Macaca mulatta: one gene and its partner. The protein of the gene in region 1 binds, or shares a complex with, the protein of each later gene. Links are inferred from orthologs where the notes say so. Each region holds a gene or a part of one and is shown on either strand. Other genes may lie near its edges.

Region 1 (3,646 bases):
TCCAGTGTCCCTTGTCTTTAAGGGCTGTCTCTTTGGCCACAGCTCCAGTCCCTGGACCACAGTGTGAAGCATCTGCTGTTCCTAGTGGGTAGGCACATAGTCTCTAGAGGCCATGGAGTAAGGACCAGTAAGAGTAGCATCCAGGGGAGCTGATGCAACCTGTCTGCTTGGCTCTAACCCACTTGATCTCCTTGGGCAATATGTATCAAATCAGTTCACAACCCTGCCCCAAGCCCTCCCAAGAGTCCCCATCCACTACTGAGCTCATTGGCCTGACCCCCAAGGCCTTTCATGAGCTTCTCTATCTTCCTTTTCAGCCTCATCTCTCACTCCTCACCACCCTCCTCACACTGCCTAGCTTTAACCTCAAAAAAATGCCAGGCTTTCTTGCCTTGAGGCCTTTACATGTGCTCTTTCCTTCTTCCGCTTTACCTCCCAGGTCTTAGGTTGGGCATCACTGCCTTCTGGAAGCCTCCCTTGAGCTTTCCTCTCCTCCACCCCTCTTCCTTATTATAGCACCTGTGCTTCCTCCATCTCCACCCTGATGGTGTGGCGGGTGCCTACTTTTCTTTGTTTCCCACCAGACTGTCTTGAGAAGGGAGACTACAGCTGTCTATCTAGCAGGGGCTCCCAGTGCCCTGCATAGTGCCTTGGCATATAGTAGGTGCTCAATAAGCATGTGTTGAATGAATAAATGAATGATTAAATAGTATGGTGAGCACATGGGACAGTGCCTGTGGACAGATCTGGCCCTGAAAACCCCCCTATGGCAGGTGCTGATGTGGCAGGCACAAGTGTCAAGCCAACACAGGCGTTTGTTTCCATGACTTGGGGCCTGCTGGTGGCTGGGCCGACTGTGTGGGCGTGTGGTCACTCACACTTCCTGCTGCAGCACTGATGACACTTTGCCAGGGGCATGCAGGGAGGAAGAGGGTGGGTGGTACAAGGGTGAGAGGTGGGCCAGATGAAGCCAACCAAACAACAACCCCCTGGCCTTTGAGGCTGGGACAACCCTGGCTTTGATGTCGCTTACGACATTTACGGTCCAGTTCTTCAGAGGCTCCTTATGTTGGGGGCTTTTTGCCTTCCCTGGGCTCTGATCAGGAACTAACAGTGGGAACTTCGTGATGCCTTGAAGAATCTGAGAAATCTGAACTCCGTCTTGAATCTTGACCCTGACTCAAAGTTTTGCTGAGACTAACTGAGATTGCTAAGATCCCAGGTTTGTAGCTTCACCCAAATTTTCTTGTACTCTGGACTATCAATAACCATAGTTAATGTCTACTGAACATGCACGATGTGCCTGCCTCTCTTGCCATTCTTAACTTAGAATGTGTTCATATATTAACTTATTTGATTCGAATAGGTAGCTGCCGTTAACATTCCTATTTTTGGACAGGGATGCCCAGGCTCAGATAGATGAAGTAGCATGTGTTCAAAGTCATCTAGCTAGTAAGTGGCAGAGCCAGGATTCAAACCCAGGCAGTCCGACTCCCTGCTACTCCAACTTGCCATATTTATGTTCCCTGCACTTACAATGCCCTTGCTCCCATCCTCCACGTGTTGCCACCCCTCAAGGCTCAGCTCGTAAGCCCTCTACTCCACAGAGGTGTCTTCAACCTTCAGTTAGAATGAATCCCTCCCATAGCACATGGCTTATGCATATTTTATAGCAGAAGCTTGCCTGGGCAGCAGCTCATCCTTCAGATGGCAAAGTCCTGGAAAGCACAGGCATGTCAATCTCCTCCATATCCTCTTCAGCACTGCTCCCCTTTTCCCCTCACAGAGAGAGGCCCCAGGCAGGTACTTAATCAATGTGGAATCAAATTTGTTGAGGAAAAGCCTGCTCATCTTGATGGAGGCCACTTACAGAGAAAAATGTGCAAGGCTAACTCAGCCCTAGAAACCAGCTCCTGGCTGGGCTCTGGGGGAAGATGTCCCCAGAACAGGCAGATTTCTTCCTATCGAAGCTGCAGGGCTCACAATCCCAACCAGAGGTCCGGAAAGGGTCCCTCTGAGAGTCTCCCGCTGGAAGCTGCAGCCTTGCTGGCATCTGGCACTTTCTTCACTCCCACCTTCCTTGTAAGCTCTCCTGAGTGCTCTGAGATACTTGTCCCATTCTCCATGCAGGAACTCAAATCCATGCAGGGACGGTTAATAAAAACCACTGGTCAGGTGCTATTGACTATGCCCTCCCTCAGCAACCCTGCTACCGTCAGCTGACATGAGATGCTTTTGCACTGACTTAAGCCTGGCCTCATGGCTACGGGAGCGGAATAATATTTTGCTTTTCCCTTCATGGGATCCAAGCTCCGTGTCTTCCTCAGAGATTGCATGTTTCAAAATAGTCTTTGGATTATGAATAATTAATAAGAAATATGTCTTTTTCAGAAAGACATTGTTCATCTTCCTAACATCCAAGAAAAACATTCCTATTCTTTTAATAGTAAATTATTTCTAGGAACTCTCTCTTCATTTTTTTCTATAGCGGGAAATTGGCCAGAAATTTCTGGGTGTTACACTTCAAGCAGTGCAGTTGGCCAGTACCGTAGAAAACGGCACTGGAGTGTCCTAACACTGCATTTGATGGTACAGCGTTACCCGTGCCCTGCTTCCTCCTCCCCTCCCTTTTCTCCTGCTAGATCAGGAGTCATTTCCCATATTCAAGGCTTTCTGGGATACTATCAGGAAATGACTGGATGTGACAGAGTGCTGGCTATTCATTAACATAGCCTTCCAAGTCCTGCATTGAAAGTTACCAGCCTACACTAGCAAAGAAGAGCCAAGAGAGAGCAATGAATATCAAATGGACACACTGTTGCTTACCCCAAAGGTCCCAGGCCATTCATCATACAATACAGCACTTCAAAATCAGTGGGAACCATATACATGCAGGATGTCCACACATGCACACGGAGGGGACATTCCTGGAAAATGGGGTGAGATGATGTTTCTTTCTGTCTCCACTCCCAGGAGCAGTGGAGGACATGGGAAACAGCAGTTCTCCCCACTCTTCCTACTTCCAAACATAGCATGCAGAACAGGGAGAGTACCTTTGGGGTGGGTGGGAAGCTCCGTTCAGGGACAGGGGAGTTGGTGGGCTTCCCACTGTGGTTCTTTGCCTCCCAGTCCTCCACTGGATTGCCTGTGTCCCCAGTGCGGAAGGGGTGGTTGCCCAGTGCTTCTTCCAGTGCCGAGGGCAGTGGGCGGGTGGGAGTGAGGTCTTGGGTGGGAATGGATGGAGGGGGAGGGATGGGAATGGGGGGTGGAGTGCGCTGCACCCATGGGGAAGACGAGGCACTCACATGGCCAGATGAGGGAAGGACAGGGGGCGCTGGGACCTTGTGGGGTGGGTTGGAGGGTAGAGGGTGGGGCATCACAGGCAAGGCAGAGGAAGTCTTGGGGGGATAGTAGAACATGTCCAAAGGGATGTCGTCCAGGTCAGTGGTGTGCAGGTGCAGTCCGCCTGCGAAGCGTCTCAAGGGTGGGGCCAGGGGAGACACAGAAGGCAGAGGAGGTGGGGGCCCTGTGGTCATCTGGGGGGATTGCAAGGAAGTTCTGTAATTGTGACTCTGATTAGCGCTCCACTTCGCAATACATCGAGCACTATGCTCTTCTACTCTGTTTCTCTTGCTACTGGAGACCC
Region 2 (3,746 bases), about 47 Mb from region 1:
GCCGAGGTGGGTGGAGGCCAAGGCAGGAGAATCGTTTGAACCTGGGAGGCAGAGGTTGTAGTGAGCGGAAATCGTGCCACTGCATTCCAGCCCGGGCGACAGAGGGTGACTCCATCTAAAAAAAAAAAAAAGGCCGGGCGCGGTGGCTCAAGCCTGTAATCCCAGCACTTTGGGAGGCCGAGTCGGGCGGATCACGAGGTCAGGAGATCGAGACCATCCTGGCGAACACGGTGAAACCCCGTCTCTACTAAAAAATACAAAAAACTAGCTGGGCGAGGCGGCGGGCACCTGTAGTCCCAGCTACTCGGGAGGCTGAGGCAGGAGAATGGCATAAACCTGGGGGGCGGAGCTTGCAGTGAGCTGAGATCCGGCCACTGCACTCCAGCCTGGGCGACAGAGCCAGACTCCGTCTCAAAAAAAAAAAAAAAAAAGAAGGATCCCGGCCAGGCACAGTGACTCATGCCTGAAATCCCAGCACTTTGGGAGGCTGGGGCGGGCAGATCACCAGGTCAGGAGTTTGAGATCAGCCTGACCAACATGGTGAAATCCTGTCTCTACCAAAAATACAAAAATTAGCCAAGCGTGGTGGTGGGCGCCTATAATCCCAGCTACTCGGGAGGCTGAGGCAGGAGAATCACTTGAACCCGGGAGGCGGAGGTTGCAGTGAGCCGAGATCTCGCCATTGCACTCCAACCTAGGTAACAGAGCGAGACTCTGTCTCAAAAAAAAGAAGCATCCCTCTCTTTCAGAGACACATGCCAAGATATATGTGGGTGATGTGCTGTGGTGTGCGGTGGGCACAGAGCCCTCTGTCTGCTGGTAGGTGGGGGGGGGGGCGGGGGCCTGTGCTGGCCTCAGGATTCTGCAATTTTCCTTAATAAAGCCGAAAAAAATGCCGCTGGTCAAGAAGTAGGATGTTGGGGGAGCGGGGCTGGGATGCAACTATTCCCTAATAGGGCGGTTGGGATTTCTCTGAAGACTGCAGACCTGAGCAGGTGGGGGAGGAGCGTGCCTGCGGGAGCTCTGAGGCTGCAGCAGAGCCTCCGCACAGTACATCTGGGTTTGACTCTCAGTGAGAAAGGAGCTGTGGAGGGCTGGGGTGGACTGGGCAGCCTTGGTTTACAGCGTCCACAGAGGCTGTTCCGCCACATGGAGTGGACTGGGACCGGCAAGGGGCAACAGGGAAGCCAGCGGGCCGGCTGAAAGTTTCCCAAAATGAGTGCTGGTGTCCCGGCCCTGGTGGGACTGGAGGTGGGCAGACGATGGATTTCTGGGTCGAGCTGGGGCAGAGCCAAGTGATTTACCAATGGGGAGCTTAGCGGGGGACGTGGGGAGGGAGGGCGAGTGGAAACCAAAGTGGTTCCAGTGGCTGGCAGGATAAAGGTGCCTCCCTTGTGGGGGCAGTGGTGGTTGAGGGAGTGGGTGGGAGTCGGGCACACTGGGTGGGGGTATCTGCTGGACAAGGGATCAGTGACGGGGATGCCACAGTTCAGGGCAGAGTCTGGACTGGAGGAAATGTGAGCATCACTCTCGGAGGGATGGCATGTGAAACCACACCCTAGGTGAGGTCATCAGAGACTGGCCCTGGACCGGCAGGGCAGAGCCCAGCTGAGGTGGCCTGGTGGGCGGGGAGAGTGGGGCAGGGACTCACCGGTGTGCCTCCGCTCTGACACAGCAGCTGAGCCTCAAGTAGTGAGTTCTCCTGTGGAGGCAGACGGGTCTGCAGTCACTGTCCCGCCCCACAGGTGGTGAGACTGAGGCCAAGGGGGCAGGCGCTGGCCCAGGGTCCCCATCATCAGTGGTCAGTGCTGAGGGTGTGGGCCCAGCCTTCTGGGGCAGGCACCACCAAGCATGGGTGTTAGTGGATGCCTGCAGGCATAGAACTCCTGGGCCCCCCGGGGAAGGTGTGGCCTGAGGATCCAGGCGCCCTTCTCCTGGGAGCCCCCACTCCCCACCCACCTGCCGCCCACACCTCGTAATCAGGAGACACGTTGAGAAACAGCTGGTTTCCCTGGATCCGAAATGCGAAGGGGGTGGACAAGGGTCCGAGGGTCACCTCCTGGCCCTCTGGGACATGGATGTCCACCAGCGGCTCGGTGACATTTGTGTTCTCCTCGACTTCAAAGAAGGACTTGTTCACAGAGCAGTCTGTAAGGTTGCAGAGGAGGGGTCAGCGCCTCCCAGCCCCTGGCTCCCCCTGCCCTGTGCCCCCACCTACCTACCCCTGCCCGCACGTACACTGGACCTGGGCCACGGTCCCCGGGGGTCGGCCAAGCAGCCCCGTGAGCAGCAGGGGAGGCCACAGCAGGGCCCAAGACCCCATCTTGGCGGCTGTCACCTGGCGGGAGGGTCCGAGTGGGTTTGGCGTCCAGGACTGGCGCAGTTCCTACCTCAGCGACCTTCGCCCCAGCCAGACGCCGCCCACTTTATGATCCTTTACAACCGGCCTCTGCCAAGGGGGCTCCCGCTGGCCGGCGGGTCCGGCCCACTGCCAGAAGGGGGGCAGTCATTTGGCCCAAGTTAGACTGAGTACAGGGATTAACCAGGGGGCTCAGGCCACAGGCACCGAGGCACAGGGCAGAAAGGACTAGAGAATGGCTCACGGGCGCCATGGGGCTGGGGCAGGGCAGGGGCAGAGCTAGGGTGTTGGAGAGAAGCCGTTGGTGTTGGGGTGTCTGAAACCTGCCTCCCTAGCCCAGGCTGCCCTTGCTTGGCTCCTCCCCTAAGCTCTACCTCAGGCAAAATTCCTAAGGCCAACCCTTGAGGCTCAGAACCTGGGTGTTCGCCCGGGAGTACCTCCCTGCCTGCCTGATGGCAGGTTCTGCAGGAAGAGACTCTCCTCACTGTGTCCTAGGGACACCCCTGCCTGCCTGCCCCAGAGACAAGCCAGCTTCTCAGGGTGGGGCTGGACAGGGCCTTAGTGACCAAGGCTAAGGCGGGGCTGTGGGGGGCAGCTGGGAGCTCCTGGGGAGCCCTGGTGCCCAACAGAGGGGGTGAGGTGAGTCTTGACACTTGCCCTGCTCTTTTCATTGGCCCCCGCAAGCCCCCAGCTCTAGGGAGAGGCCACTGGCTGGGGTCAGGGCGAGGAAGGGGCTGTCGTGAGGCGGGGAGTGGAGTCATTCCTCTCCAGGCCTGTGCACCGAAGCTTCTGGCCTCTCGTGGCTGGGGCTGGGCTCAGTGTCCCAACCCTGCACTGTACCCTCATGGTCGCCTGCAAGCCCTGCACGCTCCATACGCCACAGGCTCTGAGGGGTCAAGCCACTGGTCTGAGGCCACACAAGACAGAGGGTCCGGAGTCCTCATGCCAGAGTGGACTCCTGGCACCCCAGGTGACACCTCTGCCCTCCCCTCTTCCTGCCCGCCTGAGCCTCCCTGGCCCCTCCACACCCTCCCCACTGCCCCTTCCGGAAACACTGACCACACGCCACCCCCCACCCCCCTGCAGGAGCTGAGAGTCTGTCCGGGCTTCCCCTGAGCCCTTGACTGTTTCCTAATGAAGACAAGGGGGGGGCGGGGCCCTGCGGTGCTTAGTCGATGTACAGGAGGCGGCACTGATGCCAGAGATAAGGATGAGGGGCCCGCTGTGGCCGCCAGGTGTAAAGGGCAGCTGGGTGTGGTCACAGTCCCGGCTGGGTGGATGGGGCCCCCTTCCATCTGACAGCCCTGCTACACAGGGGTTGCCTCGATTACACCAAGTGGACACAACCAACTCCCAGTGTCTGGATCTGATTCTCCTTTATTGGTGC

What was found. Proteins that work in one complex are often made in the same cells at the same time.
Region 2: USH1C (region 1) and CDHR5 share a complex: the UniProt entries of both Homo sapiens proteins name them as parts of the IMAC/intermicrovillar adhesion complex. The link is inferred for Macaca mulatta from reciprocal best matches to the Homo sapiens genes USH1C and CDHR5.

The regions. Positions count from the first base shown.
Region 1 is NC_133419.1:47,957,382-47,961,027, reverse strand, and holds part of USH1C (harmonin), read right to left. Parts: intron 3,537-3,646; coding exon 3,054-3,536; exon of another isoform or gene 2,928-3,053; coding exon of another isoform or gene 2,823-2,927; exon of another isoform or gene 2,797-2,822; intron 1-2,796. UniProt on the Homo sapiens protein: Anchoring/scaffolding protein that is a part of the functional network formed by USH1C, USH1G, CDH23 and MYO7A that mediates mechanotransduction in cochlear hair cells. Required for normal development and maintenance of cochlear hair cell bundles.
Region 2 is NC_133419.1:517,654-521,399, forward strand, and holds the start of CDHR5 (cadherin-related family member 5), read right to left. Parts: upstream 2,412-3,746; 5' UTR 2,324-2,411; coding exon 2,239-2,323; intron 2,149-2,238; coding exon 1,973-2,148; exon of another isoform or gene 1,960-1,972; intron 1,703-1,959; coding exon 1,652-1,702; intron 1-1,651. UniProt on the Homo sapiens protein: Intermicrovillar adhesion molecule that forms, via its extracellular domain, calcium-dependent heterophilic complexes with CDHR2 on adjacent microvilli. Thereby, controls the packing of microvilli at the apical membrane of epithelial cells.